Linked DNA regions of Cricetulus griseus. The protein of the gene in region 1 purifies or fractionates together with the protein of each later gene. This does not show direct contact. Links are inferred from orthologs where the notes say so. Each region holds a gene or a part of one and is shown on either strand. Other genes may lie near its edges. The genes, in order: Slc7a14 and Golgi membrane protein 1.

The links.
Region 2: the proteins of Slc7a14 (region 1) and Golgi membrane protein 1 purify together in Homo sapiens (co-immunoprecipitation; 3 studies listed by BioGRID and IntAct, with this or other methods). This does not show direct contact. The link is inferred for Cricetulus griseus from reciprocal best matches to the Homo sapiens genes SLC7A14 and GOLM1.

The regions. Positions count from the first base shown.
Region 1 is NW_023276806.1:119,888,526-119,893,126, forward strand, and holds the start of Slc7a14 (probable cationic amino acid transporter), read right to left. Parts: upstream 3,049-4,601; coding exon 2,745-3,048; intron 1-2,744. UniProt on the Homo sapiens protein: Imports 4-aminobutanoate (GABA) into lysosomes. May act as a GABA sensor that regulates mTORC2-dependent INS signaling and gluconeogenesis. The transport mechanism and substrate selectivity remain to be elucidated.
Region 2 is NC_048596.1:278,769,155-278,773,553, reverse strand, and holds the start of Golgi membrane protein 1, read left to right. Parts: upstream 1-1,567; 5' UTR 1,568-1,674; intron 1,675-4,399.

The DNA.
Region 1 (4,601 bases):
GTGATATCACTGGCTGTAAAGCTGTAAAGTGGTGTGGCCTATCAGGGCTGCAAAGAGCTGGTGCACAGTGGCTCCAGCATCATACTGGCTGGATAGCTCTGAGCTCTCCATTCCAGTGATGAAGAAGTAGATACTATACAGTGCTGTGAGCACTGAGGTGGGGGATGGGCTCCCAGGATGCAATTGTATGTGAGGGATGATTTGCCTCCCTCATACAGGAGTCATCTCAGCCTGGGCACTGTACCCAACTAGAATGGGGTCTGGGGAAAGCTGTGCAGTACTCATTAACTGGCAGGGATTTAGGTGTCTATCCTATGGCCCTGTGTCACCTGGGAAAAGAGCCTTAATGAAGGATTGTTTACATTGGGTTGGTTTGTGGGCATGTCCACAGGAGATTGTCTTTAAGTTATTTGATGTGGGAAGACCCAGCCCACTGTGGGTGTGCACTGTACCCTTGATGGTGTCCTGAACTGTTGAAGACCACAGAAGAAAAAATGGAGTTGAGCACTACCAAACAGGCAAGTGATCACGGATGCATTATCTCCTTCCTGTTCCTGTCCGTGGTCAGCTGTTTCAAGATTCTGTTGCTGTGACTTCACCCACAGTGCTGGACCGAACTGAAACAACCCTTTTTCTACCTTAAGTTGCTTCAGGCTAGAGTATTTTATTACAGCAACATAAATGACACTAGGATAACCCTCTAGCAGGATGCCTGCCCCTTGTTATGCCATCTCTAATCACTTCTATAATGATATTCCTTTTAGAGCCATAAACCAGTGATGTATCATTTTTGTCAATACAATTTGGGAAGAATTGAAGTCACATTACTTATTTCAAGCAGCTAGGTAATTCATTCATGTGAGCAATGCATTCATTTTGAAGGGACAGAAGTCCTTTAATCTGCATAAATCCAGTTTGTTAGCGTTTTCATGCAGAAGAAAGGGTGATTCCAGGGAAGGGGTTGGGTAGAGTTGACTGTGAGGCTTGGTTCTAGTGGATTGTTACTAAATGAAAAGCATCAGGTAGCAGCCAGTAAACTTTTGAGTTTGCTGTTTGTAATCTGTCTTATTACTTCATGGACGGAGACTAAATACTAATATTTAATAGTGAGGAATGGTACTGTAGGATTTTCATGTGATGCTGGACACAAGTCACAGAACTCCTGTGTAGGGGACAGTAAGCCACACCTGTTAGAGGCTGGCTACAGGTGTGCCTGACCACACCTGTCAAGGCGTGGTCAAGGTGAGGTCAGGATGACTCGGCATGGGCTCTTAAGGGGCCACAGCACATGGAAGCCCTCTCCTTCCCCTTTTCCCCTTGGCTCCTGCTCCAGTGGCACCATGTGATCCACCCACCTGCAAAGGAGGACACCAATGGATGGTGTCCAATAAGATAAGTCTTATAAAATATATAGATTTATGATAAATAAGACTGAGCTAACAGATGAGAATCCTAGTCATTGGTCAAGCAGCATCTGTACATAATACAAGTCTCTGTGTTATTTTGTCCATCCACATGGCCGGCAGAACTCAGGTGGCTGGCGGAGACCGCCCATGTGGTGGTAGGGCTCGGGTGGCTTATGGCAGAAAGATTTATCGTAACACTCCTGTTCTGCATTAGATATGCTGTGCCTGAAACAGTTGAACAGCCCAAACACTCACTGCCAATACATCAGCCGACACACACAATCAGTAGCCCCATGCCCAGCAAAATCTCATGTTTTGTGCTGTGGTCTCCAAGATGCTATTCTTTTCCTTTCCTTTCCTTTCCTTTCCTTTCCTTTCCTTTCCTTTCCTTTCCTTTCCTTTTATCTTTTCTTCTTCTTTTTTAAAAGTTGTCTATTGACCTACTTGTGGTCCTCTGGGAAGATACTATGGCCTACAGCTCTAGAGAAAATGAAGAAAAGGGAGAAAGGCAATAGGAGAGTCATTCCACAAACTACCAATGTGTAGGCCTTGGCATCCCGCTTTTGAATTAGTTGTGTGACCCTGGGTCAAGGGCAAGAGGGGCTGCTGCCCTCCCTGTAGGTGATGGGTTTGTTTGTTGAGGCAGAAAGTGTTGTATATCTCCAATAGCACTAGATCCCTTTTCTTGGCTTCTGCCTCCCAGTGCCAGCTTGAGGCTGATCAAATCCCAGTCATGTCCAAGTAACTGACTTGCTGTTTTGTTACTCTGCACATCCTTTGCTATTATTTTATGCTGGTTGTGTGCTCTGTTCCTCTTGCTAGGAGACCCAACCCATCTTCCAAGGAAAAGCAGCATTAAAACAGAAATAGAGTAACTAGCAGAACAGAGAGGGAGAAGCTGGGAGACCAGAGCCTGGACATCAGAATAGTTGCTTATACTGAAAACCACAGAAAACGGAAGCTATTACAATCAGGTCGAAACCTAGTCCCCTGTCTACCTAGCAGTATTGGAGACCAGAAAAACCAAATAAGCCAATTCACTGCCCCTTTGTGCAGCTCATTACCAACTGTTCTAGAAGAGGCTGGGGAGATGGTTGAGTGGGAAGGTGTCTCCTGCTCACACTGTCAGCATGGGTTCAATCTCCAGGACCCATCTGGTGGCCGGGGAGAACTGACTCCCACAAGTTGTCTTCTGGCCTCCACACACAGGCTCTGGCATGTGCTCCCGCAACACACAAATAAACAAATGTTGTAATAGATATTCTGAAAGAGTGAAATGAGCAGCAACCATGTCAGCAAGCAACCTTGACATGGGACATCCCTCCCTTAGACACTTACCTGATAATATAGATGCAACAGCAGCAATGATGAAGGACACAATGACACCAGGTCCTGCCATTTCCTTGGCCACAAGGCCAGACACCACATACATGCCAGTGCCCACACAGCTGCCGACTCCAAGAGAGATGAGGTCCACAGTGGTGAGTACCTGAGCTAGCTTGGTACCATGTGCTGTGGTAGTTCCAGTCCCTTCCAGCATGGATTCCACTGGTTTGGTACGCAGGATCCGAGAGTGCATCGCATACCAGGCAGCCCCCCACTGCACCCGCCGGGGGTCCAGTGAGGCCAGAAAGCCACTCATCTTGAACGGGAGGGTTACAGTGAAGGCTCACTGATGGAAAAGAACTACAGAAGACTTAGTGGATGATCCTGGAACACATGGAGCAATGAGTGTGTGTCCTTTTAAGAAAGGCCCAGTGGGACCCAGTGCAGCATTGACTTGGGCATGAACGTCTGGAAGAGAAACACAAGAAAGAAGGTAAGAAGCAAACCATGACTGGGAGACACATTGGGCATTGCCTCAGGAACAGGTGCAATGAGGCTGTCATTTGTGCCTCTCCATTTCTGTGTTCTCCCTTCTGAGCTCCCTTCCAGTTCTCATATGACAGCCTGAAGCCTGCCCCTTGTCTCATAATCATCCCAGAAGCTGGTTTATTCTAATACCTGCTATAGGTCATTTCCTTTCTCTGTGCTTCAGTCTTAGCTCTTTACAGGCCAATAAAGTCTTGACCAGAATGAAAATAGTCTGAAAAGATGGGTGTAGCCTCTCTTTGTAATTTCAACCATACTTCAAGGAATTAGATTTTCTCTAGGAATCTCATGCTGGGAGAAGGAAAAAGTTGGGGCCCTGGTGCCAGCTTGGAGAATCCATCCCCTAGAAAGATATTTCACACAGTCTGACAACTTGTTAGAACACCTCACAGGAAAGACTGAGGCCCTGAATATTGATGTTGGGACCACTGAAAAGGGCTGCTTAGCTATGCATACCTTCAAACAGCCATCTATTTAAACCTAGATCTCATGCTAGGACCCTGAAGATGGACTTGGAAGAGGGGCTCAATCTTTTTGTTTTCCTTCTCAGTGTTGCAACACTGAATACATCTCTCCTTTCTGCTTTTAGTTGTCCGTTTGTCTCTTTCACTTGTCCATTGTAGTCGTTAGTTTTCTGTTGCGGTGGTAAAATATTCTGACAAGAGCAACTCAGGGTTTCTTTTGGCTTATGGTTCCAGAGGGGCAAAGTCCATCATGACAGGGAAAGCATGACAGCAGGAGTAGGAAACTGGCTAATCACGCTTTCAATCACACACAGGAAGCTGAGAAGGAGCAGGAGCATGGCAAGGCTATAAAATCTCACAGCCTACTGATGTACTTCCTCCAGCAAGGCTCCACATCCTAAAATTTCTATAGTCCTCCCAAATAGTGCCACCAGCTGGGAATCAAGTGCTTGAATACATGAGCCTATGAGGGACATTTCTCATTCAAGTCACCATATGGCTTGAGGACAGGTTGGTGAACCTAGTTCATCAGGGCTGCTGGGACCTAGCTCTGACCCAACAACTCCAGTAGCAAAGTCATCTGCTTGGTGTTAATGTGTTAGGCAGGTCAGCACAGATATGCAAGCAGCTGAGGACAAGACCTGGCTCACAGGAGGCACTCAGCTGCCTCCACTCCTATGTACTTCTTGCTTGCCAAGATTTGATCTGTGATGCTGGGCATATTCTTTGTGAACAAAATATCTTCATTTGCAAAAAAAAAAAGAATGTAAAATTAGATCTATGATTCTTAAGAGGGGCCATGCCACTCATGGGGTTGTTTCTAATTTGGCTTTCAAATAAAACAGAAAATGTTTTGGGC
Region 2 (4,399 bases), on another chromosome or scaffold:
CATGTGGGAGCTCTTGGTTCCCAGACTGATAGCTGGGAAACCAGCATGGGTCTGATCCAGACACCATGAACGTGGGTGTCACTGAGGCCTTGGAAATCTACAGGACCTCCTGTAGTAGTTCAGTACTTGTCCCTAGCATAGGAATGGACTTTGGAAGCCCATTCCACATAGAGGGATACTCCCTCAGTCTAGACACATGGGGGAGGGCCTAGGACCTATCCCAAAAGATATGACTCTGAAGACCCCCTATGGAAGGCCTCACCCTCCCTGGGGAGCAGAAAGGGTATGGGATGGGTAGGGTGTTAGTTGGGGGGGCAGGGGAGGAGGGGGGAGAGAGGGAACTGGGATTAACATGTAAAATAATTTTGTTTCTAATTTAAATAAAAAAATGGAGGGGAAAAAAGCATTTAATTGGGGCTGGCTTACAGTTTCAAAGGGAGTCCAGGACCATCAAGGTGGGGGCCATGGCGGTGGAGCAGTAGCCAAGATCTGATGTCTTAACCACAAAGGGAGGAGGAGAGCTGGGAACTGAACCTCAAAGTCCAGCACAGTGACACACCTACCCCAACAAGGCCACACCTCCTAATCCTCCCTAACAACTGGGAAGCAAACATGCAAATGCATCAGCCCTGTGGGGGCCAGTCTCATTCAAACTACCACAAGTTGTTTATTGGAAAGATAAAAACGGGTGGGGGTATGGATGAGGTCATCAGGCACTGCTCAGTTGTTTATTGTTGTGGGGGTTTAAGGAGATGTTCAGAGTGAACCTGCTTCCTCACCCAGATAGGGAAACTGGGAACCCTTGAAAGAGATTCTGCAACTGTTCTCAAACCCCAGCCACTTATTAAAAAACGTGCAAAAGAGCCCCGCAGCCCCTGGAGAGACGGCTCAGGGGTTAAGAGCACTTTCAGAGGTCCTAACTTCAATTCCCAGCAACCACATGGTGGCTCACAACCATCTGTTATGAGATCTGGTGCCCTCTTCTGGCACGCACTGTATACATGATAAATAAATAAATATTAAAAAAAAAAGTGCAAAAGAATCCCAGCACTGGGGAGGCAGAGAAAGGATCTCTGTGAGTTCAAGGCCAGCCTGGTTTACAGAGCGAGTGCCAGGACAGCCAGGGCTACACAGAGAAACCTTGTCTTGAAAAGACAAAACAAAACAAAAAACCGTGAGGATAATACCAGTGTTCAGAGCCAGAACCCAGGGCCGTGCACCCCAATAGCCAGCAACGGTAAGTGCAGCCAGAGAAGCAGAGGCCGGAGGGACACCACGAGTTCGAGGCCATCCTTGGGCTGCACAGTGAGCCAGGTCCTGAAAGACAAAATCCTGCTTCGCCGCTACCTCGGAGGTCATCGTTTGCGGTGTGGCGGGTGGGTGGGCGGGGAGGCGATGGCTCAGGCCTGGAGGACTGAGCGCAGGGCGGCTCGCACAGGGCGGCTCGCACAGGGCGGCTCGCACAGGGCGGCTCGCACAGGGCGGCTCGCACAGGGCGGCTCGCACAGGGCGGGGAGGAGGGCGGCGCCGCGGGGCTGGGGCCTGGGCTGCAGCTCCGCCGGAAGTGCCCGCCCGTCTGCCCGCCCGCCGGGGCTGCTTCGGCGGAGAACGCTCTCGCACGGCGACCGGACCCGGCGCCCCGCAGCCCGCAGCCCCGCAGCCCGCGGCCGGCAGGTGAGCGCCGCGCCTCTCCCGCGGGACGCAGCGCGGGCAGCCGCCTGCTGCCGCCGCCTCCCGCATCCTCCTCCACCCTTCGCCATCCCCTCTTCTCTGTCTCTCCCGCCTCCCTCCTCTGCCCTCCCCGGCAAACCCTGCAAGTGGCCCGCGAGTCCCCGGGGTCGCCCGCCACAGGCAGCCGCAGCCGACTTTCTGGGATGCTCCTTGCCGGGGTGGAACTACCTAACAACTTGTTGCGTGCTAGAAGCGCTCGCTGGGGTTTTGATACTCTTCTGTGTTTAAAAATGTTAACGATTACTTTAAAAATGTAAGACAAGATTGGGAAACAATCCCAGTTTTGATGAGCCCCTTTCTAGCGATTTATGCATGGTGAATTGGTTGGGAAAGTCACCAAGGGCTAGCCATTTCCAGGTATCGCATCTCGAAGTCTGCTGTTTTTTTTTTTTTTTTTTTATTTAGCTTTCAAGGTTTGAGGCTTTCTTTGTCTGGTTACGGGGTCTCAGGGCCCTACTTTTTTTTTTTTTTTTTCCATACTGAGGAATGTTCTTTAGAAGTGGGGTAAAATGCACACCAGTTTGATGAACTGTTCAGCGGTGATGGAGTGACTGACCATGGAGTGAATGATGAATGGCCATCGCTCGGGTCAGATTTGACGGTTTTATTTCCGAAGGTGATGGCCGGGGTGCCTGGGAAGCTACAATCAGTAGTGTTGGGTGTTAGGGCATTGCAACTCATGCTACTCATCTTAAGAAAGAGAGGCTCAGTCACTTCCCCTTGTAAATAGAAAACAATAGTCGGTAGACTACTGAAGACTCTGTCAGGGCAGACACTCCTGAAAGTTTTCATGGACAGTAAGTTTCATTCTTAAGAAGTGTAAAGAAAATATGTTGGTTTTTTAAGGCCTAATTCTCCCTCTTAGGGAGTGCTTATTATGTTTTCCCACATTTAAATGAATAAGTTTTGTGCAAAAATAACAGAAATGTTGCTTGTAGGGAAGCCTGTGTGTGTATGTGTGAGTGTGTGTCTGTGTGTCTGTGTGTGAGAGTGTGTGTGAGTGTGTGAGTATGTGTGTATGTGTGTGTGAGTGTGAGTGTGTGTGAGTGTGTGTGAGTGTGTGTGAGTGTGTGAGTGTGTGTGAGAGTGTGTGTATGTGAGTGTGTGTATATGTGTGTGTGAGTGTGAGTGTGTGTGTGTGAGTGTGAGAGTGTGTGTATGTGAGTATGTGTGTGTGTGTCTGTGTGTGTGTATGTGAGTGTGAGTGGTGTGTATGTGAGTGAGTGGTGTGTGTGTGAGTGTGTGAGTGGTGTGTGTGTGTGAGAGTGTGAGTGTGTGTATGTGTGTGTGTGTGTGTGTCTGTGTGTGTGTGTGTGTGTGTGTGGTGGAGGTGATGAGACACTGTGACCTGTTCTGGCCTTAGGCCTTGAAGTCCGTGTGCTTTTTCCTTACTGGTGGCAAGTCTGGCTATTGATGGGGATGGGAAGGGTTTACATGTGTTTGTTTTTAGGGGTAGGGCACAAAGAGCAGGGAGCTCTTTCTATGTGTTTCCATGGCCACCTCCTGCAGGGAAGGCCTGCCAGTGTCCTGTTCAAAGTGCCAGAGTAGTAAAGATAGGACCTGGGAACAGGCCCCTGTGGGGCAGTTGGGGTGGGGGTGGGGGAAGGGAGTTTGGGCCTGAGGAGCAGCCCTGCCCCTGGGAGTCCTGGGTGCTGAGGGGAAAGAAGGGAGGTTGTGAGCCCTTTGCTTTTCCCTCGAGTTTCTTTACATGGTTGTCACTTTTTCTTCCTTTAAAAAAATTCAGGGTTTAGGACCTAACATGAAAAATAACATCCATAATTTCTTTTAGAAAGCAATTCTTGATTGGGAAAAGAAAAAAAATAAAGGTAGGAGAAGTGGCCTTAAAATACCTTTCCTGCTGGGGAAATGGCTCTGGAGTGTGAGTGCAGGAGCTTCGCCCCACCGTGAAAAGCCACATGTGCCCTGCGACCCCAACTCCCAACTGGTTGGACAGGACACAGACCCCAGGAGTCTCCACACAGCTGGTCCAGAAGAGTCAGTGAAATGCCCTGGCTCAAAAGTGAGTGAGAGATCCACAGAGGGGGAGATGCTGCACATGGAGGGGGCACCCCCCACATGTGTGCACGCCAACATGTGAACATGCATAACACACACACAGCCCCCCACATGTGTGCACGCCAACATGTGAACATGCATAACATACACACAGCCCCCCACATGTGTGCACACCAACATGTAAACATGCATAACACACACACAGCCCCCCGCATGTGTGCACACCGACATGTAAACATGCATAACACACACACAGCCCCCCACATGTGTGCACACCGACATGTAAACATGCATAACACACACACAGCCCCCTGCATGTGTGCACACCAACATGTAAACATGCATAACACACACACAGCCCCCCACATGTGTACACACCAACATGTAGGCATGCATAACACACATATAGGCTTTAGCTTTAATCTTGGAAACCGAAAGATTGAACACTTTAAAAATTCTGTGACAGTTTCACACCTAAAAAATCCCCACAGGATCCCAGGCTTTGAAGTTACTGGTGGAATTAGTTAGGGAAAGACTTGGCTTGAAGTTTTCAGGTGTTTCGATCCCCAGAGTGACTGGGATCTGCGTGCCTGACACAAATGCTCACATAGACTGTTACATGGTGACGGTAGCTTATGTCTCAGTCTGATCA